Linked DNA regions of Arabidopsis thaliana. The protein of the gene in region 2 interacts with the protein of the main gene of each other region in a pairwise test. Each region holds a gene or a part of one and is shown on either strand. Other genes may lie near its edges.

Region 1 (10,693 bases), on a different chromosome or scaffold from region 2:
ACAGAGCCGCCACACTCGTACTCCAATCCAAGGGTGATGATTCCGTCGATGCATCGGATCGGATAATCTCAGCCGTCTGTTACTTCTACCCATTCTTCGATGGGATTCAATACGGCAAATTCATCATCACACAGTACCAACCTTTTCAGATTCTCATCCAACCTTTGTTTCCCGCCATCAGAGCTTTCAAGAGCTTCCCTTTCAATGGGTTTCTTATCTTCATCACTCTCTACTTCGTCGTTGTGAGGAACCCTAATTTCAGCAGGTACGTCAGGTTCAACACGATGCAGGCGATTGTGCTTGATGTGTTGTTGATTTTCCCGGATTTGCTTGAGAGGAGCTTTAATCCTAGAGATGGGTTTGGTTTAGATGTGGTGATGAGTTTGGACAGCACAGTGTTCCTCTTCTTGCTTGTCTCTTTGATCTATGGATTCTCTGCTTGCTTGTTTGGTCTGACCCCGAGGTTGCCTCTTGTTGCCGAGGCTGCTGATAGGCAAGTCCTTTGATTCAATAATATCTTTGTATGTAACACATTTGCTGTGATTAAACCTTCTGTATTGGATCGCTTTCTGATAATCAAAACATACAATGTAACTTTTTGATCCAATGAAAAAGGTTTCTGCAAGACTTTTGCAATAGAGATAGAACAAAATGAAGAATAGAAACAGAGAGAGATTTTATCATATAACAATTTTTGATTTGATTAGTTCTCCTCATCACATATCTGAAAAAGCAATATGGTGAGGAAAGATCGATTCTGTAACAAAAGACAAACACACCAATGGGTGGTGAGTGTGTTTACATATCTGCACTCATCTGTCTAATGAAAGGGACAAAGTTGTTCCAGTTCTCGACCCTAAAGATCTTCTCATTCATTCTGCAAAACGTAAATGATCTTAGAGTGTCGCCATTCGGTTGCACACAGTTCTCTCGTATTTGCCTTAGTCCCATCTGTTGCAGAATTCATATAGAAAATGGTTAATAACCACCACTTTGACCTCAGACGTATAAGACTAAAGCATGTGCAAATAACTCACCTCATCAAATCTTTCGCTTGTGTTTCTACCAGTCACATGTATTGTCCACTTCTTCGAAACATCATGTATCTAGCAAAAGAAAATGTGATAATGCTGATTTGTTCATGTTCTTATAAGGCATGCTTAATTGTCTAATGTAGCAGCGCAGTAAGAACACAGAGACTAGACTAGTTTGAAGTGTCTCTACGGAAGTAAATAGTGCTTCAACAGTGACCGGTCTAAATACAAGTAACATACATACTTCATATGAACATAATTGAATTCTGGATCAAGGGTTTACGAAAGAAAGTACCTGTCTACGTAATCCTTCAGGGCTGCAAAGATATTTCTCAGGTATTTCACTATCTGCCATATCCAAGCAGCTGAAAAGATATGATAGATTCTCTCGTTAGTGAAACTGGACCATGCAGCTTCTGAGAATTATGTACATAGTAAAAGAAAACTTCAGAAAAAGGCTCTCACGGGATGTTGAGAGCAGCACCATGACGAGACAAGACGGAAGCTACAGGATCATAACCATCCCTGAGGGAGGTGTTGTAATAACCTGCAGTTAGTTCAGCGGGGTGTGAAGATGTCTTATACCACCAATAGATTCCACCAATTTTTGCAACCAGCATTACAGAGCTTTTCTCTTCTTCCTGACGTCTCCGCAAGACATCGGCTGCCTTTGCAAGAATAGCATCAGCATGACAAATCAACTTCCCACTGTACCATTCCTACAATGAAAAGCAGTTCACGTTGTTATCTATAATCCAGCCTACTAGCCACTTTTATATCATAACAATATATTATATCAGAATCACCAAAGAGGCTATGATATAGAACATACTAGAAAGAAACGACCATAGTCAGAGAGAAAGCTATCATTGCCCTCCTCAAAGAACGGAACTCCAGATGGAAAGCTATTATAGCAGCCGGTATTCGGAGGATCTCTGCTTCCCCATTGAGGTTTGCCTTCTTGGGATGCCACTGCCATCAAGTCTTCCATCCTAAACCAAGTAGTATAAATCTGTAAGTGTGATTAGTACAGGCAAATACAAATTTTCAATAAATAAGCACTCACATGTACTTGTCATGGCATTGGAATTCACCAATTCCAGGAAATTTCCACCTCCCATCTCCAGAAGGATGTGCAGGATATCTGCAAGAGATAACTGTGTAAGAAACTCCTATTGTAGCTATTGTGGCTTTACCGGTGGTAGTCCACAGAAGATCAGAAGTACCTAAGCTCCCCCGAAGGACCAAGACCTATACTTATTTCTTCAATCACATTCCCAAGATATGGCTCAAATTTTGTTGAAAAACTGAGCATAAAATCTTCATAGCATTGAACAGCAGTACGGCCACCGAACAAAGGAAGTTGATCGACTCCAAGTGTGAGATAGTCATTGTTGGAAAATCCGCTTTTATCTCTATAGTATATGTCCTTATTGACGTCTCCAATCTGGAAATTATAAGGTGAAAAGCAGTTGAGCTAAACTTCGTAACAAAGGAAAGCATTCCCAACGACAACATAATCAAGTTAGCATCTATGATTGTGTAACAGAAATCTATAGTCTCCAAGGTTTCATCAGAAAAAGTTCTCAACCTTAAAAATATTCAAAGGAAGAAGAAAAATCCGCATCAGGCAACCTTCTATCTCTACCGCAAACAAATAACTAAATACCTGTAATTCTAACAATACCAACCTCTCGGATCCAGAGTGGAAGACTGATGCCTCCTTTCCCACCAAACAAATGCATATTTGAATGAAAGCAAAGAGCAACATGTAACTTCAACCCTGCCTCAGAAATCAGTCTAAAAAGCTCTTCATACAGTGACCATTTAAACTCAAGAGGAGAGAAACGCTCTACAATCCCCCACCAAACCTCAACTGCGATTCCATGAACACCAGCTAACTTGAGTGCCTTAAGAGATACAGTTAAAGCCTTGAGCCTGAAACAATAAAGATAGATATATCATTTACTAAAAGAAGAAACTAGACTTGTCTTGTTCTGAAAAAGGAATTATACTATATTTCATACCATGTAAGGTTATATAAATCGGGTACATTGAAACATTTCAAGAAACTTAACCTTTTAATCTTTGGACACCCAGAAGCATCAATTCCAAATGTATCAATCGGCATCATCACAAAAACTGGAACTCTCTTGTGCCTTGATGATACCAACACAAACGATCGTGATTTCTCTCGAGCATCCATGCTATTAATCATGTTCATCAACAACAACAACAATTCGATTAAAAAATCACTTAATTCCAATCCAATTTCACTCGCAGACAACTAATTTCTTCCCCAAATTGATTCCACTAACGAAAATGATGTAATCGATTTCCATTTTTCATGAATTTAACAGCGAGAGCGAAACTAATTACCTAAAGATTCGGCTGTTCCCGGCGACGGAACGCAACTTAGTGATGAAACGACCGCGTTTGAAAGGAGGAATCATAGAAACGCTTCGGAAAAAGTTACGATTACGCTTTGTACTCTGCTCGAGGAAACAAGATTTCAAAGAAAATCCTCCGGGATGGAAGAAATTGCCGCCGGTGACTCCGCGACAGCCACATCCGATTACTCCAGTCTCCGTCATTTTCGTTTCTTCTCCTTCGTCGGAGATATTTCTCAGATGGTTTTAGATGCGGAGGAAAAGAGACGGAGATGGAGTACTTGAAACGCAAAATTCTATTTCTCTTTTTCTTTTCTTTTTAACGACCCAAAATTTATTTGGGGCTTTTCTGATATATATACTGAATTTTTAAATCAAGAAAATTATCAACTTTATAATTCCTTCTTGACCCTATACTTTTTCCTTTATTGCCTTTATTTTCTATTTTTTGCCCGTATGTTTTAAATATTTCTATAATTGACCCCAACTTTCGTTCTCTACTATATACCTCGTGCCTACAATATTTAATTATTTATAGGAGTATAGGTGTTTTTATGAAACAAATCAGTGAAATTATCAAAACTAATTAACGTTTTACTTGTTGAAGTTCAGGAGATGATTGAGATTACATTTATTTTATTATAAAAATCAGAGTTGATTTTTTCAAACTGGTGTTTAATGTGTAACATGGAAACAAGTTTAAATTTCTATTATGACTGACTTATAATTGAATAATAAAACTATGAGGACTTGAATAGCATATAGTCAAACTAATTGTACTTTTAGATGGTAATTTTTTTATATGATATTAAATATCCATTGAATAAGGTTTTTTAACAAAGAAAATGGAATTAACCATTTTGCTGACGTGGAAACATATCGTCCCTTAGTGGATAAGCATGTAAAATATCCCATTAGAACATATCCCATGCTACTCGCCACCATCAACACTGCCTATTACCAATTATAGTAGTGAATTTGGCATATAAATAGTATACGAAAAATGTCTCACATATTTAAGTTAACCTATTATTTCCGTCTTCATTGTCATATAGTTTGATCAAATTAAATCATGGGTCCACGATATGTCACGTTTCAGTCTCGTAGTACTACTCATCAAGTGGCAAAACTTTGTTTATCACATATAGCTGATATTTATTCGAATGTGAAAGATAATAAAGGATAAAAAAACAAAATTTCAAAATACGCACTAAGTAATAATTGCATGGGACATTTTACAAGTTCTAGTCATTTTTTAGTTACATACCAGTGCGTATGAGCATATGGTGATTGGTGAAATTGTTAAATGTATATTTCAAAGGCTATGAATTACCGATCAATCGATCAACACCAACAGCTACTAGTAGTTTAAAATTTTATGAAACAAATTTATTATTTGTCGATGTCTCCTAGTATTATATTAAAATGAACTATCGAGTATCAGTACAAATAGTCATCACAGAAGTGTGACAAACTTACGACAACAAACTTTAATCTTTTTTCTAATTTCTATACAACCAAACTACCAAAGTGGCCATGAAGACCAATAAGAACATTGTTGCAACTTGCAAACGGAACCTCAGCCACCTCCGGCGCCAAATTTCCGTAAGAATATTAACAAAGTTTTCAATTAAAGCAAAAAAGGAATATTTGAGAAAATTAATTGGCACAAATCACAAACAAAATCTTCTTTCTTGATCATGCTGTAATTACAATGTTTTCCTTTAACTGAACTCTTATCACTTGTGCGTGAACATAGAAACTAAAGATTTGTATAGCTTCGTCCTCTTTAATTCTACTCGAAAACATGGAAAGAAATAAAATATCAGCATTGCTACCGTAATTTAGGGGAGGAAACAATATTCGAGAATAAACCATATATTCTTTACGACAAAAAAAAAAAAAAAAAACATATATTCTTTTTTTGCGTGTGTCTTATATAAACACAGAAAGAGGAACTCCATTGTTAAATCAAGAAACTTCAGAAAGTAGAGCTCTTAAAGAAGGTATTATATACATTCTTTTTTTCTTCTAGTAATCACTCTGCATTTACTTTATGTTAATATCCCATCTGTTTTACTATTCGTGTTAATCGTATATGGATTTGGAATTATGCATAGGAAGCTTGACAAAACGATAAGGATTATGCTTATTAGTGAAAAAATTGAGAATAAAATAATATGAATCTTTCTTCCCTATACATTTGTAAGGCTTACATTGCTATGAAATGTTAAAATGTAAACCTAAAAGCTATATGAGTTACAAATTTTTTATTGACAACAAAATGTTTACTAGTATTAGTGCTTTGGTTGTAAATTTGTAGTGTTTCTGTATGTTTTGGTAGCTGATCGTTACATCCAAATGATGATATTACTATTTCAATTTTCAAGATTATGATCTATTGTTGTGTTTTACTCTTTTATGGCTTTTTAGATTGAAGCAAAGGTATCTGGATGGGTCGAAAGATGGTAAAGATGACGAGGATAACGAACGAGAAAACGAGGATAACGACTTACAAGAAGAGGAAAGCATGTTTGTATAAGAAAGCCAGTGAGTTCTCAACACTCTGCGGTGTGGACACTTGTGTCATTGTGTACGGCCCGAGCAGAGCAGGGGACGAAATGGTCATGGAGCCCGAGTTATGGCCAAAGGATGGGAGCAAAGTCCGTGAAATCTTAACCAAGTACAGAGACACTGCGTCAAGCAGCTGCACCAAGACATACACCGTGCAAGAATGCTTGGAGAAAAACAACACTAAGGTGGAGAAACCGACGATTGCGACAAAGTATCCTACATGGGACAAAAAGCTCGACCAGTGTTCTTTAAATGACCTCTATGCGGTTTTCATGGCAGTAGAAAACAAGATCCAAGAGGCTACGAATAGGAATCAGACATTTCCTGACACTAGTTGTTGGTCTAATGACCAACTTGGTTTATGCGGTTACAATCGGCAATGTTTTGAGCAGTATCAGTTGTTTCCTCTGCCTACTATGGATTACAACGGGCTCTCTTTCTTCCCTTTTAATAACCAGATGACCTCAAATACTGCGGAAGTGTCTTCCTTCTCGAATGTGACAGAGCCGATGATAGCGAACGGGCAAAGCTTGTTTTACGGGAGTTGTTCGGATGGTCCATATGGTCCGATGGTACAGAGGACAGCTTATATGGAGCCAATACATTGGGGTTTAGGAAACAGTATGTTCAACAATGTGAAGCAGTTCCAAGATTATCCCTTCAGGTTTGCACAAGTTAATGATTTGGAGGATTCAAGTAAACTTTCTATGTGAGAAATGTCATTTGTTTCTTCCGTTTGAATGTTGCTTTATAAACTTCTTTTTATCAAGTTTCTATTAAGTTTGTTGATTTTTTTCATAGCTATATCATGGAATAAGAAAATGGTGTTTTTACGAAAACATATTGTACTAACAAATATAATCTACCAACATTAATATACTATAAAGTAATCAATACAAAACAAGTAAGTATCTTGTTCATTAGAATTACAAGATATACTGAAGAGTCTTCTTATAGTCTGACAAAAAGCTAGTTAGCTGGAAGAACCAAAGTGGCTACTAAGATCAAAAATATGCATAGGAGATCATGTTGAACGAATTTAGAAGCCGACTTGGCTCCGGCGGGAACCTCAGCAGTCTCTGGAGCCAGATTCGCCGTCGCTGGTGCAGAACTACTCACCGGACCTCGTCCGTAAGGAAATATGTCCGGCGTATTCGCTGGAGTTGATGGAATATCAGGGGTTGTTACTGGCGATGTTGCTGCGATATATGGAGCATCGGCGGAGACTGGTGGTTGGTTTGATGGGGTGGTGGCAGGCGATTCTATTGAGGTGGTGGGACTTATCATTGGAGCAGAGATTGGAGACTTCCCTGGAATTGTAGTGGGAGGGGATACAGGGGAAGTTGCAGGCGTAGAGACAGGAGTCGTGGATGTAGTCGGAGAGGAAACAGGGGAAGTCACCGGAGATGAAACAGGGGATTTCAGAGGAGACGCAATGGTACGAGATGTAACAGGGGAAGTCGCCGGAGACGAAACAGGGGATTTCAATGGAGAAGCAATGGTTCGAGAGGAAACAGGGGAATTCGTCGGAGTAAAAACAGGTGATTTCGATGGAGATGCAGTGGTCCAAGATGGGGAAGTCGCCGGAGAAAGAACAGGGGATATCGATGGAGTCACAAAGGCCGCCGGAGAGGAAACAGAGGATTTCTCCGGAGACTTTGAAGGCGATGTTTGCTTCGTCGAAGATGGTGCCTCTGGAGATTTTTGGATCACCGGAGGATGTAAAGTAGGAGTTAAAGGAGACTTCGACGGAGAAATAACACGATGAGATTTTGCCGGCGGATGTAAAGTGGGCGTTTGAGGAGACTTTGTCGGAGCCTTTAACGGAGAAATAACAAGATGATGAGATTTTGCCGGAGGATGATGTTTCACGGCGAGTCTCGGCGATTGAGCGGGTGCATTGGCCGCTTTTACATTACCAGAAATGGAAATTAAGAAGACAAAAATGTAAATTACAGCAAACCGACGCATCGTTTTTCTTGTTTTGTCTGATTCTGGGAAAGATAACAAAAATCCAAAGTGTTCTGATTCTCAGTTCTTAGTAAAATAAGTATTTGCAAGTTTCGGTTAATGGATTTATTATAAGAAAGAGAATTATTTTAAACACGAAACGTTGTGAATTGTGATAATCGAGAGATATATGACCGTTGGTGGCGCCTGTATTGTCGGAAGTGAAGTAGCCGTTAACCGGCTAAAACCGGTTATTATGAGACGACAGGAAGTTTTATTCAGAAATGATCAGACGACGAGTCGTTTAATAAGTTTTCGAAAGTTTGAACGACAGGTAGTTCACATAAGTGAGCCCATTAAAAGCAAGCCCATTTGTTCTGGGTCATGAAACCACGCGTATTGGATTGTTGTTAGTTCTCGTAAATTCGGAAAACACGTGTCATCTCTACACTAGAAAAAGGCTCTACAATGCGCGACTGTGTACGGTGCATGTTAGTGAAATTAGTTGGATTCCATCGAGGAAAAAAATAATTTTAATTGTAAAGAAATCAAAAAAGAAAATCCAAGAAATTTCACAAATCTACCGGATTAGGGTTTCTAGCAACAGGTCCTGTCTCCGGTGACAAAATTTCTGCAAAATCTCTTCTTTTATTGAGATTGTTCATGTTCGAGCGAGTGATAACGTAAGCTTGTGATAAATCTGATTCGAGAAAGGAGCTTTTTTTTTTATCACAAGGAAGAGTCTTTTAAGATGGATGAGGGAGATGGGAGAGATCAGATGGATCAATTTCATCAAAACGAGGCGATATCTGCCGTTGCTGACGACGGGTTTATGGCGGAGGAAGAGGATGATGATTATGAGGATCTTTATAACGACGTTAATGTTGGAGAAGGGTTTCTTCAGTCTATGAAAAAGAACGACGAAGCGGGATCTAGAAACGAGGAAAAGGAGAAGGTTAATATGGAGGAGGAAGATAGGGTTGAACCAGTTTTAGGTGAAGCTGAGGTTTCGATTTCGATACCTGGTTTGGTTGGTGAGAGCGTTGAGAAAGAAGCAGAAGCAGAGTCAGGAGGAGGAGGAAGTGGAAGTGGTACTGATGTGGTGGTCGCTTCTAGTGGATATGGAGCTCAGGAGGTTAAGGTAAGCGATGTTAGCCAGGAGATTCCTGGTGGAATTGGTACTGGTACTGGAGGTGGGCTGAGAGTTGAGCTAGGGCAAGCTTCTAATCGGGCTAATGATCTCGAGGCACCTAGAGGGAATAATATTTCGCAGGGTCTCTTGCCACCACCGCCTGTGTTGGGGAATAACGAGAATTTGATGAGACCTGTGATGGGTAATGTTAATGGCGGGATTCCTCCTGGACCTGGTAGTAACATGGTTGGGAACGGAGCTAATATCGCTATGCCTGGTGTTGTTGGCGGGGGAACTGGTGGTGGAGGAGGCGGTGGAGCTTTTCTTTTCGTAGGGGATCTGCATTGGTGGACAACTGATGCGGAGCTTGAGGCAGAGTTGTGCAAGTATGGTGCAGTGAAGGAGGTTAAGTTCTTTGATGAGAAAGCTAGTGGGAAGTCGAAAGGGTATTGTCAAGTAGAGTTCTATGATCCTGTGGCAGCTTCGGCTTGCAAAGATGCGCTGAATGGGTATCCATTCAACGGTAGGCCTTGTGTTGTTGAGTATGCGTCCCCATATTCGGTTAAGAGAATGGGAGAGGCACAGGTGAATAGGACCCAACAGGCTCAATCTGTAATTGCACAAGCTAAGAGAGGAGGGCCTGCTGATCCTCCAAGTAAACCACTCGTGGCCAACAACAACAATAACAACAACAACAACGCCATTGGCGGGAATTTCCAAGGTGGGGAAAATAGAGGATTTGGTAGAGGTAATTGGGGTAGAGGCAATGCTCAAGGAATGGGTGGTAGAGGACCAGGTGGTCCAATGAGGAATAGGCCTAATGGGATGGGTGGAAGAGGTTTGATGGGTAATGGTGGGTTTGGTCAAGGAATGGGTACAGGGCCTCCTATGAATATGATGCATCAACCAATGATGGGGCAAGGGTTTGAACAAGCTTTTGGTGGACCGATGGCGAGAATGGGAGGGTATGGAGGATTCCCTGGGGCTCCAGGTCCACAGTTTCCTGGGCTTTTGTCATCATTCCCTCCTGTAGGAGGAGTTGGTTTACCTGGAGTGGCACCTCATGTGAATCCAGCATTTTTTGGACGAGGGATGCCGATGAATGGAATGGGAATGATGCCTAATGCTGGTGTTGATGGAGGGCATAATATGGGAATGTGGGATCCTAACAGTGGAGGGTGGGGTGCTGGTGAAGATCTGGGTAGTGGAAGAGCTGCGGAATCGAGTTATGGGGAGGAAGCTGCATCTGATCATCAGTATGGAGAGGTTAATCACGAAAGAGGGGCTCGTCCAAATCCTGTGAAGGAAAAAGAAAGAGCTTCAGAAAGGGAATGGTCTGGTTCATCTGATAGAAGGAATCGTGAGGATAAAGATGCTGGTTATGAAAGGGACATACCGAGGGAGAAAGATGTTGGTCACGGTTATGATATGCCAGAGAGAAGGCATCGTGATGATAGAGACACCGGTCGTGAGCGTGAGAGGGAACATCATCATAAGGATCGTGAACGCTCCAGAGAACATGTTCGTGACAGAGAAAGGGAAAGGGAGAGGGATCGTCATAGAGAAGAACGAGAACGATATGGTGGTGATCATCGTACTAGACACAGGGACGA
Region 2 (10,372 bases):
TTCCCTGAATTTATACCATCTAGAGATAAGCTTAAGTGAATCACAGGAACTCTAATGAGTATGTTTGTTCTTCTTGTTTAAGTGAGTTTAGTTTCTAAAAACTTCTGTTTTGATGGATTTGAGCAGGCAATGTCGTATGCAAGGTTAGCTGGGCTTCAACCAATATACGGTCTATGTGAGCTCAATATGAATATACCCTTTTATGAATTCATCAATGTGTGTGAGAGATACTAAGCTATTCCCACTTTTGCATGTAGTTATTAATCTTGTTTGGTGCAGACTCCTCATTTGTGCCGGTATTCGTGTATGCCGTCTTCGGTTCATCCCGTCAGCTTGCAGTTGGACCTGTAGCATTAGTTTCCCTTCTCGTTTCTAATGCCTTGAGTGGAATTGTTGATCCATCTGAAGAATTATACACTGAGCTTGCCATTTTGTTGGCTCTTATGGTCGGAATATTTGAGAGCATTATGGGGTTCTTGAGGTATTTATAGTCTTCTCTTTGTTTGTGCAAGGAATCCTGTATTTTTTGTAGTGTTAGAACAAGTTGTTCGTTTGTTTTTTCAACCCAGGCTTGGATGGCTTATTCGTTTCATAAGTCACTCAGTCATTTCTGGATTTACAACTGCTTCAGCTGTTGTAATTGGGTTATCCCAACTGAAATACTTCCTAGGGTATAGCGTTTCTCGGAGCAGCAAGATTATGCCAGTAATTGATAGCATAATAGCTGGAGCTGATCAGGTCTGGTCTTCAGATTCTTAATGGTGTTGCAATTCCTTTTGGTTCAACATACCTTCTATGCCTTACTTGTATAACTTCATCTGAATTTCTGTTTTGTAGTTTAAGTGGCCACCTTTCTTGTTGGGATGTACCATTCTGGTGATCCTTTTAGTAATGAAGCATGTGGTATGAGCCTTGTTCTTCAGTGTGTCATTAGGATACTTCTTATGTTCCCTTACTTTTATTATGCTAAGGCATCATTTTCTGCGGCAGGGAAAAGCAAAGAAGGAACTTCGGTTCATACGAGCAGCAGGACCGCTCACAGGTCTTGCTCTTGGTACAATCATTGCAAAAGTGTTCCATCCACCTTCCATCACACTGGTCAGATTGCTAAAGAATGAAATTCTTATATTTTTCCCTATTGAAGCTACATTTTTTGTGAGTGTTTTCCGTAATTGATTGCAAAGTTTTTAGGATTTCTCAGGTGGGAGATATACCTCAGGGACTTCCAAAGTTTTCTTTCCCAAAAAGTTTTGATCATGCCAAATTACTGCTTCCAACATCGGCTCTCATTACTGGTGTTGCCATCTTGGTGAGACATCATTGTCATTAACTTTTTCCTGGACTTACGTGAGTTGCAGCTGAACCTAATCATGAGAATCTGTAAATGGATGGATATGGCTGAGACATGGAGTAATTTGACTTCCTGAGAAGCAGAAGTGGAGTTTCTTGATTAGTTTCAGCTGCAGTATGCGCATGTTTTTGTGTTTTCTGATATGCTAGTTCGACTTATCCAGGAATCTGTAGGTATTGCGAAAGCACTAGCCGCGAAAAATAGATACGAATTGGATTCAAATTCAGAGGTATAAACCCTAGAGAATAAAGAAAATCAAGTGCAAGCGGCTAGCCCAATTCTTACCATTAAATGTTGTAACTTGTTCTTTTAATGGCTACATCTTATGGTCATTGAGAGTTCTGTCTGTTTTTCCCGTGACTTGGCAGTTGTTTGGTCTTGGCGTTGCAAATATATTTGGGTCACTATTCTCTGCATATCCAACTACAGGTACGTAATCTTGACTGTTGAGATTAGTAGACAACATGTAATGTGTGTTTTCTATGATAAATTCAAAACAAAAGGTGATAATATTTTCTAAGTTGTAGCCTGAATTTGATGTATCTGTTAATTCCCTAAATGTGTCATAGGATCCTTTTCTAGGTCAGCTGTGAATAGCGAAAGTGAAGCCAAGACTGGTCTATCAGGCCTTGTAACAGGAATCATCATTGGATGTTCTCTACTGTTCTTGACCCCAATGTTCAAATTTATACCACAGGTAGGTCTGTGTTGAGTATTTCTAATTCCAGTCCTGTGCTCTCTTGTTTTTATTTTTTAGTCTGAAACTCTGGAGAATTTTAAAACTGAAATCTGGCTTCTAATTCCTGTCTGTTTCTCAACTACGCAGTGTGCTTTAGCAGCAATAGTTATCTCTGCTGTTAGTGGTTTGGTAAGTTCAAATAAACCCACCAGAAAAGAATCTGGGGTGTGTACTTATTGTCTTTGGTTATTGAGCAATATATATTCACATTTATTCTTTCTGGATGTTTACCATATTAGGTGGACTATGAAGGGGCAATCTTTCTGTGGCGTGTGGACAAGAGAGATTTTACTCTTTGGACCATCACTAGCACCACCACTTTGTTCTTTGGAATAGAGATTGGGGTCCTCATTGGTGTGAGTATGCTCATACTCACTCAGCTTTATTTCTGTAGCTGATCATATCTCTTTGAAATTAAAAGGAGTGATGATGTTGAAAGTAGTATAACCACCTACATGAATTGTGCAACGCTTTTAAAGGACTCACAGAGTTGTAATGCTTGGAATTTTTCAGGTTGGTTTTTCACTTGCATTTGTTATACACGAGTCTGCAAACCCTCATATAGGTGAGATAAGTTTCTGTTCAATTTGCTTGTTTTGTTTCTCAGAAATGGTTTTCACTCATATCCTTGATCACATACCATTACATATGTTTTGGCAGCTGTCTTGGGGCGTCTTCCAGGGACCACTGTGTACAGAAACATGAAACAGTATCCAGAGGCATACACTTACAACGGGATTGTGATTGTTCGAATCGATGCTCCCATTTATTTTGCCAACATAAGCTACATCAAGGACAGGTGAAATTGACATTTGGTTCCTGACTTGCTTTCTGTTATGATCCACATAAAGAATCAACACAACAACACCATGTTTCGAAATTGCAGGCTACGAGAATATGAAGTTGCTATCGACAAACACACAAGCAAGGGCCCAGATATGGAGAGGATCTACTTTGTTATCCTGGAAATGTCTCGTAAGTCCAATGTTTCTTCTATTCACAGTTCGAAACTTACAGAGGTGATTAATCTAATCGACAATGGGTGGGATGTAACGCAGCTGTCACATACATCGACTCGAGCGCTGTAGAAGCTTTAAAAGATTTGTACGAGGAGTATAAAACAAGGGGCATTCAGGTGCAAACCTGATATCATCATCATTATTTAGTACTTGTTTCTAAGTTGTCAATACCTTGATGATTAGTTGGTTTTCTATGGATCAGCTAGCGATTTCGAACCCAAACAAAGAGGTTCTCTTGACTCTAGCAAGAGCAGGCATTGTGGAACTTATTGGCAAAGAATGGTTCTTCGTGAGAGTACATGACGCAGTCCAAGTTTGTGTTCATTACGTCAATAGACCCACAGATGTAGAAGAAAGCAGCAAACCAAGCTTATGGAGAAGAAGCGGCCTGAAAAACTCATCGACCTACACTGAAGTTGAATCGAACATAGTTTTAGAGGAACCATTGTTGTCAAGAGAGAAATAGAGACATTGAACACTTCGATTCTTTTTACAATAATGTAATGTATGTATCAAATAAAGCATTCACTTTGGTTGAGAAAAATATGATTCCCATTTCTCTGTTTCAACCTTAAAAAACTATTTCTTATGTAATGTATAGAAAAGCACAATAAAAATTGGAAGTCATAAGATTTATTGATGTTAAGAATAGAATAATAGTTTGGCAACCAACAGAGATAATCCATAAGACGATCAAATCAACCAATCCTGGGACATCTGGGGCAATATCATAGAAATAGAAATCAAAACGATTAAACTAAAAGATAGAACATGAAAATGCATGAGAGCGCCTTTAGGTTTTGGGGTCAGCAGCTTTGTCGTTGTGAGGATCCTTTTGATTTCCAGAAGCTTCAGCTTTCAGCATAGCGTCAAGTTCGAGATTCAAACGTTCCTTCAGCCTCAGCATCCTCTGACACGCAGCGTTCAATTGCTCTGGATTCATCGATTCGAATTGCTTAGTATCTTCCCACCAAAACCTTGGGTGCTCAACCTCCGCATCCTCCTCGTCTTCATCTTCCTCCTCCGCATCATCCACTGGTGCTGGATTATTCTCGAGGAAAGTGTTAACAACGCCATTGACAGAGGGAAAGCCGAAGGAGAACATAGAGACGTCCGATTCGGAGGAAGAAGGAGGAGGAGTAACGAAGATGGCGATTTTGGTGGAGGGATCTTCGGAGACAAGTTTCGCTGCTTCGCGGAAGAGATCGTCGCGTAGTTCTGCGAAATTAACAGATCCTGATGCTTCCTTCTTCTCTACCTTCTCCATCTCCATCTTCGTCTCCGTCTCCGTCTTTTGCCTCTTAGAATCTCCCATTGTTGTACCGTTTCGAATTTTGATTTCACACTGTTCTTAATTTTTTTTTTATAAGCTTCTTCTCTTCTTAAAGACGTCACTAACCGACTCCAAGCGGAAAAAACCCATCGAAAATCGACGATGGTCCTTGATTCATCCACGTGTACGGTGGAGATGATGCTGCGTGTGAACCCAATTCAATTAAAAATCTGAATTACCAATTTTCCTTTACAAATTGGTTAATATCTACTTTATTAAGATAAGATCAGTAACTAATTAATTATTATAATTTTAATTAAATGTTTACCCAAAACCAAGTTCGAAACGATCTGGAATTTTGTTAAATGCAACAAAACAAAACAAAATTAATCTGATTTTAACATCTTCTGATCTCCGGCCCAATCCAATAGGCTTAATGATCTTACATCTTTTTTTTTTTGGGGCAAATCCAATAGCCTTTAATGATCAAACTTTTTCTGTAGTTACACCAAAAAAACTGAATATCTATTCTACTTCCTAAATGCATTAATGTTAGGCAATCATAGTCAATGTTGTAGTTGAATAGACTAACTAATCTAAGCCCTATGCACACACATGTAAAAATGAGACGCAACAATATTTATGTGAAGCACGAAAGAAAAATGAGTTCGTTAATCAATCTGATATCTCAATCCATTCCCTAATTCGAGTCATAACATAAATTGTTTGCTAGGTAGGATAACAACAAAGGTTTCCAGAATAACAATATAATTACACTACAATTTAGCTAGGTAACAAATAAATCAGTGAATTATTAATATAATTAGTGGTTCAAGTAGTATATACATCGTTGCATGTCCATGAAATACAAGATGTGGAGATTGTTCGTTCCAAAAACGAGGAACATATTATTTTTTGTTGCTTGATGTGTGTGTGATATATCACCTAATGATCCCATGTGATCAGAATCAGATGCAACTGCCTAGATTTGGTTCTTCATTGTTTTCAGGAATAAAAGTCAACTAGATTTTAACCCGCGGTATACCGCGGGATGATTTATTTTTAAAAAGTAATATATATTAAAACTTGCAAATTTTATTTTTATAAAATATTTATATTTTACAGTTTATAATTATTATTAAATAACGTTATACTACGAAATCCATTAGACAATTATTAAAAAATTAAAGTTTTAATCCTATTAAAACAACATATTAATAATATTTTAAAATTTTATAAATATTGATTCAAATACATCCACCATATAACTCAATTCCAAAATAAAACTCGTTCTATAATTTCTTTACCCGTCCCGTAATTTTTTAATTAAAGTAGTAATTTTAAAAATTTAAGAATTATTTATTATATATAAAAGTTTTGTAAATTGTATCATTTTCTAATACATTTATATTTTATAGTTTAATTTTATATATAGTAACATTATACATACCACGTAACATTTTTTGTTTTATATAATCTTTTCTAAATTAGGATGATTTGATATATTTAATATTAGTAGTCTTAAAAAATAATAAATTAAAAATTTAATCCGTATTAAAACGGTGGATTAATTAGATTTTACTTTTTTATTAATGTTGATTCAAAAACCCATCCCTCCAAATCCGTCTTGCCAAAAAGCCATTTATTTTATTAATATTAATTTATTTATGATATGACTCTGAATTATAATCTAAACATTTTAGCTAATAACATAGGAGTGCACCATATTTATTTAATAGGAGAATGTACTATATGACCTGAATGCACTTTTACTCAAATCCACCAAAAAAGTCTTGCAAAAATACTATAGACCCGAATGTACCATATTTTTTTATGCTAATTTTTCTGTAATTAAGATTTTAATTGATTTCGTATATAAAATATTAAATTGTTTTACGAACTTATTTGTTTATAATTTGGTAACAGATAGATATTTGAATATTCGGTATATTTTGCTTCAGTTTAGGAAATCTTTGATGACCCGTCTTTAAATCCAATAAGCCCTATAATTAAGAGATGAATATTGTCGTTAAATGATTTTGGTAATCTTAATGATGTCATTAAAAGATTCTATTTTTGATTAAAATTTTCTAATGGTATTGTCATGTAATTAATTACAAAAATTAAGATTACATTTAAAATGTATTTTGTAGGATTTGCCAATATATTCACATTACAATATTATTTTTTTCCATGGTCGATTATTTCTACCCGAAAGAGACGGCAACGCAGCCCACAGTGAGATTGGAGATTAGAGATTCAGTCAACGATGATTAACGTTACTTTTCATAGTTAGTACATAAGAATAGCACGCAGGTTTCGTCGAGGTTTTGGATTTTATATAGTTTGTAAACATGACACGTACTTTGGATAAAACATTATGAAATAGGGAAAGTCATCATGAGTAGTTGGAATAATGAATATATTAAATATTGGTATGATTTGGTCTTGAGTCATTATATCATTACCTGGCTAATGCTATACGTTACCTTATAATGAATTCTAAATGTCTCAATTGCTTTTTGAAAAAGTTGATCACGAACCCGCCGCCTCATATTCATAATTAAAGTTAAATTTTGTTTTTGTCAACATTGATCATAGTTAAATATTTAGACACGTCTATTTTTATTTTCTCCACGTTATACATTTTCTTGACTATTCATGCAACTCTTGTGATCTTGTCTTAGATATAGTCAAGTATTGTGTATACATCATAGGGAATATCCGAATATGTGTGTGTTTGATTAATTAGTGCACACTAGCTCAGATCATCGATTAGTCCGCAACTCGAGTAAACGTGTTTTCAGACCACCCAAAATTTTACGACCTTTGTGTCCCACTATCTACGTCGATAGTAACTTTAGAACAAAAAACTCAAAAAGAGTGTAATTTGTTATGCTTTTGGTCTTCTAAAATTTGTATTCTTCTACCAACATTTAGCACAGTTTCATACATAGAAAGTTCTCATTACTTGGAATTAACATGATAATCCCCCAAAAAAACAAATCAATATCTAACCTAGCAACAATGACGGAAGGAAAATAAATATAATCAAAAACAAACCTACCAAATACTGTTTGTTCCCCATAGCCACACTCCATAGACATAACAAACAATAAACTATGGAAAAAGATAGAATTTGATGTGATAAAACATTCATTAATTGGATCTATATATATCTTTCATGCCTCCACAAAAAGAAAACCATAGAACATTGAACAAAATGAAGACTAATCTTTTTCTCTTTCTCATCTTTTCACTTCTCCTATCATTATCCTCGGCCGAGCAATGTGGTCGCCAAGCTGGAGGAGCACTCTGCCCCAACGGTCTATGCTGCAGCGAGTTCGGCTGGTGCGGTAACACCGAACCATACTGTAAGCAGCCTGGCTGCCAAAGCCAGTGCACTCCCGGTGGTACTCCTCCTGGACCCACCGGCGATCTTTCGGGCATCATTTCAAGTTCTCAGTTCGATGATATGCTTAAGCATAGGAATGATGCCGCTTGTCCTGCTAGAGGTTTCTACACTTACAACGCCTTTATCACCGCTGCAAAGTCCTTCCCCGGTTTTGGCACCACCGGAGACACCGCCACGAGGAAGAAGGAGGTCGCCGCCTTCTTCGGCCAGACTTCCCATGAAACTACAGGTACCCAAAACTCATTAACAATTTGACGGAGATTGTTTCAAAACACAATTGCTAAATTTTGGTGTTTATTATTAAAACATCAGAATTTGAAGTTCTTTTTTTCTTCTGTAAAGAGTTTTGGATCCAAGTGCTCATATATACAAAGAACTACTATACTATATATATATATATATATATATATATATGTTTTATTGAAAAAATTATAGCTTCTCATATTTAGAAACGAAAGAAAAAAATCAAACAAAAACGCCAAACGCAAAGAAAAATGTTTTGGTCTTAGATGTTTGCGTTTACAATTAAAAAACTATTTTAAAAATATGAAATTCTTGATTAATCTAAACGCAAATAACCAATCAAGGAACTTACGAATATTCCAGTTTCCAAATTATACACTTTTGAATAATGTCAAGTTTGTGAGTTGTGACTATATATATAGCTATATACTAATTAATTAAGTGGACGGTTACGTCGTGCAGGTGGATGGGCTACAGCACCAGACGGACCATATTCATGGGGCTACTGTTTCAAGCAAGAACAGAATCCTGCTTCAGACTACTGTGAACCGAGCGCCACGTGGCCATGCGCATCTGGCAAACGCTACTACGGAAGAGGACCAATGCAACTGTCGTGGAACTACAATTACGGTCTATGCGGTAGAGCAATAGGAGTTGACTTACTCAACAACCCTGACCTTGTTGCCAACGACGCAGTGATCGCTTTCAAAGCCGCGATTTGGTTCTGGATGACTGCTCAGCCTCCCAAACCGTCTTGCCATGCCGTGATAGCCGGCCAGTGGCAGCCTTCAGACGCCGACCGTGCCGCCGGGAGATTACCGGGTTATGGAGTGATTACGAACATCATTAACGGTGGATTGGAGTGTGGACGTGGCCAAGACGGGAGAGTCGCCGATCGTATAGGGTTTTATCAGAGGTATTGTAACATATTTGGTGTTAATCCTGGTGGTAATCTTGATTGTTACAACCAAAGATCCTTCGTTAACGGCCTCCTCGAAGCTGCTATTTAGTAACGAGAGTATTATTATTATAATATAATACGCAGCTTTGTATTATCAAAACAATAATATCAGACTAATAAAACTCTTTCCAATGATGTTTCACTGTTTATGTTGCGATTTTATTTCCCATGGGCCTTTTTTAATTGGGCTCTCTAGCAGATGAGAGAAAGACGAAGAAAGGTGCATAGATGTTTTAAACTTCGATTACAAGTAAAGGTGTTTGACAATTTCTGTGTGACTCTGCCGACACGTTTCGTATAACGTGCCGCTATCCTCAGCAACGTTTTCATGTGTAATCCAGATTGGTATGAATTTCTATTTAAAATGTTGGTAGCTTAACCGATTGAGGCCAAATCAAACCAATCTATAACTCGAATCGGTACTCTTTTCTTACAAATGATTCGATTCAATTGGCATCCAATCAAATGTAAACCTTTTTTGTTTTAAATCGTAAGAATATTTTCATAAATCAGAGCCTAAACTTAAAACTGTACCAACAAAACCAACATCAAACCAAATGGACACCTTAATCCGGTACACGGCGAATTAACTGTAGAGGATAAAATCAACAATTCGACGAGTAAAACGAAAAATATCTAAAAATACAGGGCACCGAACCAAATAAAGGTGAGAATGATGAGAAGCCGTTTCTTACTCTTCATTGTTTTCTTCTCTCTATCCCTCTTCATTTCCTCTCTGATCGCCAGTGATTTAGGCTTCTGCAACGAAGAGATGGCTTTAGTCGGAGGTGTTGGCGATGTCCCTGCTAATCAGAACAGTGGTGAGGTTGAGAGCCTCGCTCGTTTCGCTGTCGATGAACACAACAAGAAAGAGGTTCCAAATCTCTCATCATCTTCGATTTTTTCACATCTCTCGTCTCGATATGTGTGTTTTATGCTATTATAGTCTTGATCCAGAACACGATTAGACTAATTTTGTCCGGAGTTTCTCTATTGATCTCAATTTCAGTTACCAGCAGATCTTAGAGAGTGTATATTATTCGGTGATGAAATGCGTTCATGTTGTGGGATTGATTGATTGATTGATTTTTTGGTTTGTTCTGTCTTTGGTCGTCGTAGAATGCACTTCTTGAGTTTGCGAGAGTTGTGAAGGCGAAAGAACAAGTTGTAGCCGGAACACTGCATCACCTGACTCTGGAGATTCTCGAGGCAGGACAGAAGAAGCTTTACGAAGCCAAAGTGTGGGTCAAGCCGTGGTTGAACTTTAAAGAGTTACAGGAGTTCAAGCCTGCCAGTGATGCCCCTGCTATCACTTCCTCCGATCTTGGCTGCAAGCAAGGTGTGAATTTGAGTAGTTACTGATAAGAACAT
Region 3 (11,015 bases), on a different chromosome or scaffold from region 2:
TTAAAAATAAGTTTAAAAATTATTGTGTTTTCACCACTTCAGGGGCAAATTAGTCCAATCTCCTCTCAAAAAGATGGCAAAGTGTCTTCTCCCTCATAAGTGCCTCAAACGTAAAAAGATTCTCACAAAATGCCTAATAATGTCACATTCCCTTTCTTTTTTGTTGCTGTCCTTAAATTAATTATCAGTAATTACATTTACTACAACGGTTAGATTGATATTTGTAAAATCGGATCTAATTTAGATTTTCTCTATGATATCAAACATACAAAGCATTTTTATGAGGGAAATTAAATCTAGAGGATATCTAAAAATAAATTGTCCATCTATTTCTTTTTCTTATAAATTAATCAAATAGGTTTTTCAAAAAAAAATAAGTCTTATTTACCCTCATTTTATTTTATAATTAAAATTTCCTAATCTATTTATACAAAAGAAATACTAGTTTAAAGTAAAATTTTGAGAACCTAAATCCTCTAAATGTATTAGACTCTTTCACAAACCCTATCTTTTGTCTCTCTTCCTCCTTTACTCGATTAAAAAAAAAAGCATTCAGCTCTATAATTTTTTTTCGGGCGAACTTACTCTCCACATGTCGCAGGCGATTTCTTTGCCATCTCTGTTGTCGTCGTCGCCGGCGATTTCTTTGCCTTCTCTGTGGTCGGCGTCGTCGTGTCCAAAGTCACCTGAATCTTCTTCATCACCGTCGTGACCACTCATCTCAACCTCCCTTCCTTCTCCGCCACCAAAACCGCCAAAGTCCGCCTTCAGAACGGTGTCGCCGCCGCTCTCTTCCCTCACAGGTCTCATCTCTAAGAACTGTTTCGATTTGTTAAGTTCTTAGAATCACTTGGTTGGTTCTTAGTCTTTTCTCTCAATTTTGTGTCTCATGAAGTGTCAATTGCAATTTGCATGTTGAGCTGTTAATTTTAGTTGCATGTAGATTTAATAATTCAAATCTAATAAATATTTATTTTCTTTTTTCAAAGATTCACTTTTTATATCTATTCTAAATAGTTTAGAAACAAAAAACTAATTTGGGTTAAAATATAAATTCTAAAAGTGAAAATTTCTAAGAAAACGTGTTCTAGTGTTTTCAGAAACTATAGAAATTCTTAGAATACAATTTCACACATAGTTTAGAACATGAAGGAATTTTAGAATACATGTTCTACAATTTTTAGATATTGAATATCCTATTTTCTAAGATTGTTAGAAAGAAAAATAGTCTAAATATTGTAAAATATGTACAAAATATTAGAATAGAAATTCTAAACTTAATAGATTACTAGAAATCGTTTTCTAAAAAATTTAGACAAAATTTTATCTATCAAAAAATCAATTTTTGTTTAACTAAATAACAATTTTTTTTTTTACAAATCAACTATATTCTTGTAGATCTACATGTTATTAAGGTCAAACTTTTTCAAAAATGCTTAAAATATAAAGTAGGGGTATTTTGGTTCAAATTGAAATTTAGCAAAAAAAGGTTATATAGACAAAAAAAATTGTAGAACTCTTTTAAATTTAATTTCTCCGTGACTCAAAAAAAAATTAGGAGTTTTTACTACAATTATTGAAAAACCCCAACGGTTAGATTAATATCAGAACCGTGTTACATAATTATCAGAGTTTATTTTCTCTTTGATGAGCTATATTTTTTTATTATTTTTTTGTGTGTAAACAACACAATGGGTTCTTCAATGTGAAGACAATAATTAAGGGTTTTTGCTTACCTTAATTAATTAATTAATAATTACCTTACGACGGTTAGAAATAGGATCTAATTTTAGATTTCATCATTAAATGAAGAAAAGATATGGAAATCAGTATGAAATATGGAAATCGATCGAATTTAAAAAATTCTATATAACCCGATTGTATGTTTTCTTCAAAATGTAAAATATGGAAATCGAATTTAACATGTCAACTTTCACTACTTAAGTTGAAGTAGTACCCTTAACCCAATTCATCTTTAGCGATTAGATATAGTATTGAATGGGCCTAAAAGTATCCGGCCCAATTGATTAATATCTTATTTGACGTCGTGGAATCTGCGGGCGGCGGAGAAGGGAGGCGAGGGAATGGAGAGTTGCTGTCGGAGCGTCATAGCTTCAAGGACGTTTCATCTGCGGTCAAGTGGCCGTCTATTTCCCTCTCTTAGCTTAACTCATCTCAAGGGCAAGCTATCTCTCTCCATCAACTCGTTTTCCTCCAAGATTCAGTCTCATGCTCTCCGAGGAGTTGGTATAGGCGAGTCAGATAAGAAAAATCCCCTGCCGCGAGGGGCCGGAGAAGGAGTCAAGGAAGATGCGAGGAGTAAGCTGCTTCATGTAGTTTTGGTCTCTCCTCAGGTTTGCACTCTCACTGCTACCTTTGGTCTTCTTAGTACATGTTGATGGATCTAAACAACTTATACTCTCCTTGACAGATTCCTGGGAATACAGGTTGCATTGCAAGAACATGTGCTGCCTCAGCTGTTGGTCTGCATTTAGTCGGGGTAAAGTAACCAAACACGACTTGTTCATTATTTCCAGTGTTGATGACTTAATCTGTCATTTGTTCCTGCTTCAGCCATTAGGTTTTCAAGTGGATGACGCCAGAGTTAAGCGAGCTGGTTTGGATTATTGGCCGTATCCTACCTAATTTGTCTACTACATAGGAATTGAGAAATGAGAGTTTACCCCACTGTTTTTGTGTTAAGGTTTAGTCGCTGTCATTAGCTCTTCTTCTTCTTAACTTAAAGCATAGCTTTGTGGTTGTCAAAGCGCATAGCTCATGGGCTGAGTTTCAAGAATATTTCAGGCTTCAGGTTTACCACTTGTCCTTGAGTAGCTAAAGTCCCTATGTGTGTGTGGTGTCTGATATTTCTCTTTGGTTTAGGAGGGAGAAAAACGAATGATAGCTTTTACAAAAAGAGGAACAAGGATACATTCAGTAAGTTGCTTGCTTGTCCTTCCACCTCTAGTTTATTGTTTACCAACCAGAAATAGCAACAATCACTAGCAATTGGGTAGCTGAAAACAATGGTTACAACTTGATGCAGGATTTTTCTTACCGATCAGGCGATTACCTCTTGTTCGGGTCAGAGACAAGCGGTCTACCTCCTGAAGCGCTGTCAGACTGCAATCACGAACCATATGGAGGGGGGACCCTACGTATTCCCATGGTAGAAACGTATGTGAGATGTCTGAATCTTTCGGTGAGTGTAGGGATTGCTCTGTATGAAGCGTCCAGACAACTTAACTATGAGCAAATCGAGTGTGCACCTCAAGGCTGTGTGAATGGTGAAGAACCATTGTTGACAGAGGATATCTTTGCTTGATACATTGGATGGTTGCAAAAAGGAAGACGGAGACGTAGAGGCATAGCCATTGGTGGTTGGTAAGCATTCATATTCATCTTGAAGGAGTCACTACCCTAAACCCTATTGTATCTGTATCCCAATTCTCTCCTTCAGAGTTTATTTTCTCTTTGAGAACAAGCTAAAAGCTTAATTTTTTTCCTATCTCTGTGTAAACAAAACATCACAATAGATTCTTCGATGTCAAGAAGAAAACCAAATTTTCTGTGAGAAGAAACCAAACTTGTCTATGAGAGAAGATACAATGTTTAAGAAAGCCCTCGAGCTTTCAACTCTGTGCGATATCGAAGTCTGTGTCATACTTTATAGTCGTGACGGAGAACTCATCAAGACATGGCCGGAGGATCAATCCAAGGTTCGAGACATGGCAGAGAGGTTTAGCAAACTACACGAGAGAGAGCGACGCAAGAAAAGAACCAACCTTTCTCTGTTTCTACGTAAGAAGATCCTCGACAACAGTAAGCTCTCGGAGAAAGTCTTAGAGATGAAGGATTCATTAGAAAGTGGTCTACGGGTACTACAAGATAAGCTTCTGTTACTACAACCCGAGAAAAACCAGACCGAGTTAGGTCAGATCCCCGTCATCAACAATGGACAGAACCATTGGTGAATATCGGTGTGTCAAACACAGAGCAAGACCTATCGACGTCACCATTGAGTCAACATCAGAGCAAATTTTCAGTCTTTCTCTATAACCATGACAACTGTAGCTTCTATCAAGTCCGTGCCTCTGTTTCTACTTCAGATATCAGATTATATGAGGTTAATTGTCTGATGAAGAGTTTGTGTTGAATTGTATGTTTTTCCTAAGTATGAATGCTATCTTCTCAATCCTATTTTTGTCTGAGTACGAACTAAGAATATATATACATTTCATTACATAGTTTAATAGTCAAATTACCCATCATCTAATCCAGTAGAAAGGAATATAAAACAGAAAATTATGCCAACAAGTTACTAGTCTGTTATGAAGTGTGATCGAACACATAGCAACAGTGAAAGTAATACGCGAATATGTTGATGAAATTACAAGCACAAAATGAGAAACAACTTTGTTTTTTTTACTTTGTTCTGATGTCTTATTATGATATTTGGCTTTGGTTATATACCAAAATAATAAAATCCAACCACCAATAAATTACCCTAATCATAAAAAAAAAGTTACAGAATAACTTTCTTCTTGAAGGAAGAAAAAGATCAAAGAGAATCAAGAATGGTAGTGTTGTTTAAATGGAGACAACAACAGATGACAAAAGGTCAACGTGGCTTATGTGTGTTCTCAGTCTTCTTGTTTGTCATAGCCAAAGGCAAGCTCGAAGATCTTTCCATAGTCATCCACGAAGTGAACATTAAGCCCTTCTTTCACATTCTCTGCCAGCTCATCAAAGTCTCTCCGGTTTGCCTCTGGAAATATTATTGTTTTAATCTGACTCCGCCTCGCCGCTATAGTTTTCTCTTTCACCTGTAACATTTTTGTGTACATTGTCAAAAAAGGAAAAAAAAAGAGAGGCTCTAATAGAATAGAGTGAGAGAAGTCCGGAGTTACTTACCCCACCAATAGGAAGAATTCTTCCGGTTAGTGTGACTTCTCCAGTCATTGCAAGGTCCTTCCTAACGGGTTTCTTCGTGGCAAGTGATAGTAAAGATGTGATCATGGTGCAGCCTGCACTTGGACCATCCTTGGGAGTGGCTCCTGCAGGAACATGGAGATGAAGCTTGGAGTTTGCAAAGAACTGATTCTCTGGTTCTTTCTCTAGCATGATCTTTCTGGCGACTGTGTGAGCAATTTGTGCACTTTCTTTCATCACATCACCGAGCTGACCCGTTATATTCAGGCCACCTTTACCTTCCCCTTCCTCCACAACAGTCGTCTCTATGTACAATGTTGAACCACCCATTGATGTCCAAGCTAGACCCATCACAACACCTACCGGTGTCTGCTCATAGAGCTTCTCTGCATGGAATACCGGTTTTCCTACATAATCCGCAAGGTTTGACTCATCAATCATAACCGTTTCAATAGCTATCTTCTCGGTTTGGGCCTCTTCCTTTGGTTCTTCAGCAGAGGACACAGTGTTTTCTTCGACAGTATGATTCTCTATGGATTCGCCAACATCAGCCACGATTTCAGCTTCTTCAGGATCACTTGCAACTGCAGGCTCTTCGGGGACTGCTCCTTCACGCACTAATTTAAGTGCAATCTACAACAGAAAAGTAAATGGTGTTCGACATTGAGGGCTTGAGGAATCAATTCGGAGTCTTGTAGCAAAACTTACCTTACGGTAAATCTTCTCGATCTGTTTCTGGAGATTCCTAACACCTGCTTCTCTGCAGTAATTTTCTATCAAGGAAAGAAGCGCTGCATCACTCACCTCAACCTGCATAGTACGAACAAATTGACGAAATCTTAGAAGTATGTGATTCATTGATAATCACTCACTCATTTTAATTTACCGAGAGTTAAAAGAAGAGACAATTGGAGAATAGGATGAAAGTGAGACCTGTTCAGGCTTGACACCACAATCTCCACGTGCAGTTTTTTCCAAATAGTCTCTTGCGATATGAACTTTTTCATCAGTGATATACCCAGCAATAGAAATCACCTCCATTCTGTCTAGCAAAGGATTTGGAATCATGTCTATCACATTTGCTGTGCACACAAATAAAACCTGTAGGGAAATGGATCAGCAATTAAATTCAATCGGCCTAGTATCACATGAAACAAAATGGTATTCATATCCATCTATTGGTGGACAGAACATCATGAAGAAAAGAAATACAAAATTTGGTCCTTGACCACATTTAATTACCTTTGATAGATCTATAGTAACGTCGAGATAGTGGTCCAGAAAATTTGCGTTTTGCTCTGGATCCAGAAGCTCCAACAAAGCACTGGCCGGGTCACCAGCATGGCCTCTCCCCAGCTGCAAAGGAACAATATAGCAATTTATTGCAGAGAAATTTGTCTTTGGTAACTAGAGATTGAAACAGTATTGTACTGATGAATAAAAGAAGCTACCATATGATGACAAATATCAAAACAAAAAATATATTACCTTATCAATCTCATCGATTAGAACAAGAGGATTTGCTGTCCCCACACTCTTTAGACATTGCACCATCTTTCCTGGCATGGCGCCAACATATGTCCGACGATGCCCCTAAACATGTAATTACAAGAATGGTTTTTTGTTTCTAGGAAAGAATTCAGTCACAAATGTTTGACTAATATTTGCAAGTATACCAAAACAAAGGTATTATACCTTGATCTCAGCGACATCTGCTAACCCTCCAACAGAGAACCGGAAAAATTTGCGATTAAGAGCACGTGCAATAGACCGCCCAATACTAGTTTTGCCTACTCCAGGAGGGCCGGAGAGGCAGATGATTTTCCCTGGGGACACATTTACTCAAATTTAAGGGGACAAGTTTTTTTCAACAAGATCAAATCACAATTACTGGATAAGTATCAAACCTTGTGAAGTGCCTCTAAGTCTTCCCACTGCAATAAATTCCAGTATTCTTTCCTTTACGTCAGATAAGCCATAGTGATCCTCGTCAAGAATTGTTTGCGCCCGTGCAACATCAAAGTTTTCATTACTGCAAATTTAACAAAATAGATTCCTCAAATCAGTGAACACAAAAACAAATGGTGCCATGAGATGAGAGCTCATCCGTCTCTATATCAGTCTCTCATACCAAAAGACTTACTGCTTTACTTAAACAGAAAAAAAAAAAAAGATATATGAAAAGTAAAAAACCTGTAATTTCCCCAAGGCAATATGGTCAACCAATCAAGGTAGTTACGCGTCACGTTAAACTCGCTTGAACTCGCCTCTAACAGCTGCAGCTTTGTAAGCTCTTCTTCTATGACTTGTAATACATGCGCTGGAATTTTTTCCTTGTTAGGCTCAATCCTTTCCTTAAACTTTGCTGCAGTAAAGAACAGACTATAAGTTGTGGTTGTCATACAATTAACAGTGCACGGCTCTCCAAACTCATACCAAAGACACTGACGTCTCATGAATGCATTGTGATCCATGAGGCAGTGAAATTCTAAATTTCTAACTAGGATATAAACTGACTACATGTAATTGAAGATAGTTTAAGACTTTAAGTTCGTACTGACCAGAAAGTGCAGATTTGTCATCTGTCTCCACACCAAGCTCCTGCATTGGATGACTTAAATGAATCAAACCAAATATGTATATATATTACACAGACATGGTATGTGGATGAAAATAGCAAGCATATTTTGTGAAGCGGGCTGAGTAATACCTTCTTTATAGCCTTGAGCTGCTCATTTAGCAAGTAACGACGTTGCTCACCGCTAATTTTTTCTTCAATTGCTTTTGCTATGGTTTCCTATAAAAGGCTCAGAAGATAAGAATCTTATCCCATTCAAACAGTTACCGGATAAGTAGTCCCTTAGTGGGAAAGACACAAGAATAAGGGAATGAAGTACCTGTATCTTGCTAATTTCCATTTCTTTTTTCATCAATTCCAGCGTCAACCGCAGACGTTTGTGAACCTGGGTCAATAAAAACAGAGATGAGAGATTGACCAAGAATCATACAATTACAACAATAATGAAGCTCCTTACATCCAGTTCTTCAAGAACTTCTTGAGCTTGATGCCTATTTGCGCCACATATCGCCGCTCCAAAATCAGCTAGTCGTGGATAAGTGAAATCACCTATATGCTACACAAGTTGAAAGACATCTACTAAGACACTTGTACCCTGAGACCTTTTTACCAGAACAGGTGAAATTATGACAAGAACATGCCTGGGTATATGTCTGAACGTGATCTCTCCATAGTGAACTTGTCTTCAGTACATCCCTAAGAGTTGAAATAACTTCAAAAGATGTTGCCTTGACGACATCATCGTCCATGTCAAACGGATTATCCTGCACAGAGAGTAAGAAAAGGTTCCTGACTTCAGAGTTTCAAATAGAAAAAGCAAAATCAAAGTAGTCTCATATTATAAGAGGAAAAGCCTAAAAGCAGAAAAATGTACCTTAAGATGATCGACTTTGACGGTAAGTGGTTCTTCGCTCACCTGTATAAAGGAAAAATTTCTCCCTTAAACCAAAAGTGTCTTGATCAACCAAAGAACAGATGTGAAGATGTACTTTCGAGGATTTGGAACTTTCATGGTTGAAAATTCTACAAAGTACGAACGCTGTTATACCGACTTACCATCTCTTTTATGCGAAGTCGCCTGTGACCAACAAGGATAACTTGGTCTCCTTGGATACTTGAAATCTGGAAAATCAATAAGGAAATCGTAATGCTAGTCATGCTTTTTAATTTGAACAAATGCAGCAACACAATACCTGAGCAAGTGTGCCAACTTCGTGAAGCCGGTTAAGCAACTCTTTCCCTTTCAGCTCATTTATGTTTTTTTCTGCGTCAGTGCTTGAAGATGAATCAGCTGATGGGTCATCCTTCAGAAGGAAAGCTCCTGCATATGGAGCTTGTCGTCTTCTGCTCTCTTGTAAGGCTGCGAGTACTTTAGGATCCTGCACACCAGAAAACGCACATGCTGGTCAGAGAAGCAAAACCTGACATCTCCCAAACTATAAAGATCGTGTCATCGCTGTGGTTTAACGGAAATAGTTTTTAGCTATTTTGTCCCAGGCGGGGAAGATTACAATTAATAAACAATGGGGTAAATTATCAAAAAAATTGCATCAAATGCGGCTAAAATTGATCTATATGTCGAAACCCAAACAGCAGATATTTCAAAGAAGGTGTCAGCTGATATGTAAGTTCTCTTCACTTTTGATTGTAAACTAGGTAATCAATGATCCATGCTCTACTGAGAACAAAATAAGAAGATATCGGTACTAGTTCTAAGGCTAGATTCAGCTCCATTTAAAGAGAATCGAATGAGATTTTGAGAACCAAACAAGGCCAAGTTTTGGAGAGTGTTTAAAGGCCAGAAAATGATGAATTGACATACCTTGACATAGATTGGCATGTAAAAACCAGGAAAAAGCGGCCTATGTGGCACCGGCAATGCTAGAACCTGCAATTAAACAACGGAAAACTCCATCAGGAGAAACATAACTCCGCTAAAATGAAAATGATCAAATGTAAAATGTTCACAAAATCCAATTAGTCTTTGCTTGACTGTTAACAACAAACCACTAAATACAGATTCAAAAATGCTCTAAGCAAACACCATAGAACAACATACAATATCAGAAGCTTCAACTTTCTCCACTAATAGAACAACAAAGATGTAAAGCACCTCATAAGCATCATCCACTCAGTTATTACCAAAGTTTACAACTTTGTAATAATTCCAACAAGAATTGAAATTTTCCTATACAATTAGATTGCCAACGATCCAATAACGCATATACAAATGCACTAACAAATCTTCCACAGAGAAAGGAACAAAAAGCCATAGTTACACAAACCGTTAAACAATCTTCAGGCCTAGGGTTAGTGGGCACAATCGCAGACGAAGATTTGGAGTCAGACACTTCAGAATCGGACTCCACCGCCTTAGTTTCAGCTTCAGCCGCCGCCTCTCCATTGGTAGGCTCAGAGCAGAAGAAAGCACGATGACCCAACGAAGTAGATCGCCGATTCCACCCAGTGATTTGACTCAACGCTTTGAACAATGGAGACTCCACTGGAGAAGACCCGACGACCCTACTTACCGGAGTCAAATGGTGGACTCGAGAGGCGGAGGAAGTGAAGAGCTTTAACATGGTGGGAGAGAAAGAAGATCTGGGGTAACAATTTCTGCGATTGAGTTTTATAAAGTTTTGCCTTTTAGGCAAGAAACCATTGGAGAATTCTGGAGAAGAAGCCTGTAGACGAAGATTAGTATCAAAGCCCTTCATAAACCCCGACGAAGCAAAACCCCAATTTTAAAGGCAGCAGAGAGAACAACACCATTTTGCCTTCACAATAACACGACGTCGTTTTGGAGTCGGTTCATTGAATTTTCCGGTTATCAGAAAACCAAACCGGTCCGGCCAACTAAAGCCGTTTGCTTCACCGCCATTAGTAAAAGATGTGGCCTTTAAAGTTGTGAACTTTATCTTCGATTTTGTTTTGATGATGCGTTTAAAGGTAATGAAGAGAATTTGATACAAATCTAGATAGCATTGGTTCTCTACTGATTATAACGACAACACTAACAGAGATTCTTGTCCTAACGAAACAAGCATTACTTACTACTGATTCTAGATTACTACGAGAAGCATCGTGATTGGCCCTAGATAAGTTAGTTCTCTACAAATCCAATAAGAACAACAAGATTACACACTTTCTACAGAGATTGATATGATCAAGTTAGTTGAATCATCTTCCAGCTCCTGCTGCTTTGAGGAAATTGTCAAAGGGACTAGCTGGAGGTAGTCTCATCATGGACCATGAATCCTGCAACATTCCAGATTCTCTCCCATAGATGTTCCCATCTTCTACTACCTGTAACAACGTGTCTCAACGTGTAAGCCTCGTATGATAAAGTTTCTACCTTTCTCTTAACCAGCCCATTTGGTATCACAAAGTTATGATCTTTCTCACTATTACTAAGGACCATAGCAGATTTTAACAGTTTGTAGTTCTAATGTGTTTACCAACTCAGCTGTTACGTACCTTCTCAAGTGCAGATGATTCCTCAAGT

The links.
Region 1: the proteins of AT3G12510 (region 2) and AT5G55690 interact in a two-hybrid assay, tested with the Arabidopsis thaliana proteins (one large-scale study listed by BioGRID).
Region 3: the proteins of AT3G12510 (region 2) and AGL26 interact in a two-hybrid assay, tested with the Arabidopsis thaliana proteins (one large-scale study listed by BioGRID).

The regions. Positions count from the first base shown.
Region 1 is NC_003076.8:22,544,808-22,555,500, reverse strand, and holds AT5G55690 (MADS-box transcription factor family protein), read left to right. Parts: upstream 1-5,406; 5' UTR 5,407-5,430; intron 5,431-5,855; exon of another isoform or gene 5,856-5,857; 5' UTR 5,858-5,877; coding exon 5,878-6,711; 3' UTR 6,712-6,794; downstream 6,795-10,693. Other genes in the region: Tic20-V (TIC 20-v-like protein), read left to right, coding at 1-506; BAM4 (beta-amylase 4), read right to left, coding at 799-951, 1,038-1,106, 1,330-1,399, 1,500-1,753, 1,867-2,026, 2,101-2,178, 2,261-2,481, 2,726-2,972 and 2 more; AT5G55680 (glycine-rich protein), read left to right, coding at 7,140-7,766; AT5G55670 (RNA-binding (RRM/RBD/RNP motifs) family protein), read left to right, coding at 8,700-10,693.
Region 2 is NC_003074.8:3,961,179-3,971,550, reverse strand, and holds AT3G12510 (MADS-box family protein), read right to left. Parts: upstream 4,457-10,372; 5' UTR 4,425-4,456; coding exon 3,903-4,424; 3' UTR 3,729-3,902; downstream 1-3,728. Other genes in the region: SULTR4;2 (sulfate transporter 4;2), read left to right, coding at 127-175, 280-481, 570-738, 838-903, 991-1,098, 1,202-1,309, 1,515-1,580, 1,720-1,780 and 8 more; HCHIB (basic chitinase), read left to right, coding at 7,567-8,026, 8,503-9,050; CYSB (cystatin B), read left to right, coding at 9,675-9,875, 10,121-10,340.
Region 3 is NC_003076.8:9,450,260-9,461,274, reverse strand, and holds AGL26 (tRNA (cytidine(34)-2'-O)-methyltransferase), read left to right. Parts: upstream 1-2,053; 5' UTR 2,054-2,084; coding exon 2,085-2,354; intron 2,355-2,431; coding exon 2,432-2,500; intron 2,501-2,574; coding exon 2,575-2,633; intron 2,634-2,751; coding exon 2,752-2,812; intron 2,813-2,883; coding exon 2,884-2,937; intron 2,938-3,046; coding exon 3,047-3,325; 3' UTR 3,326-3,584; downstream 3,585-11,015. Other genes in the region: AT5G26890 (uncharacterized protein), read right to left, coding at 559-810; AT5G26865 (AGAMOUS-like MADS-box protein), read left to right, coding at 3,594-3,974; LON1 (lon protease 1), read right to left, coding at 4,644-4,826, 4,915-5,565, 5,641-5,742, 5,866-6,033, 6,175-6,288, 6,421-6,525, 6,628-6,758, 6,840-6,964 and 11 more; AT5G26850 (Uncharacterized protein), read right to left, coding at 10,691-10,816, 10,988-11,015.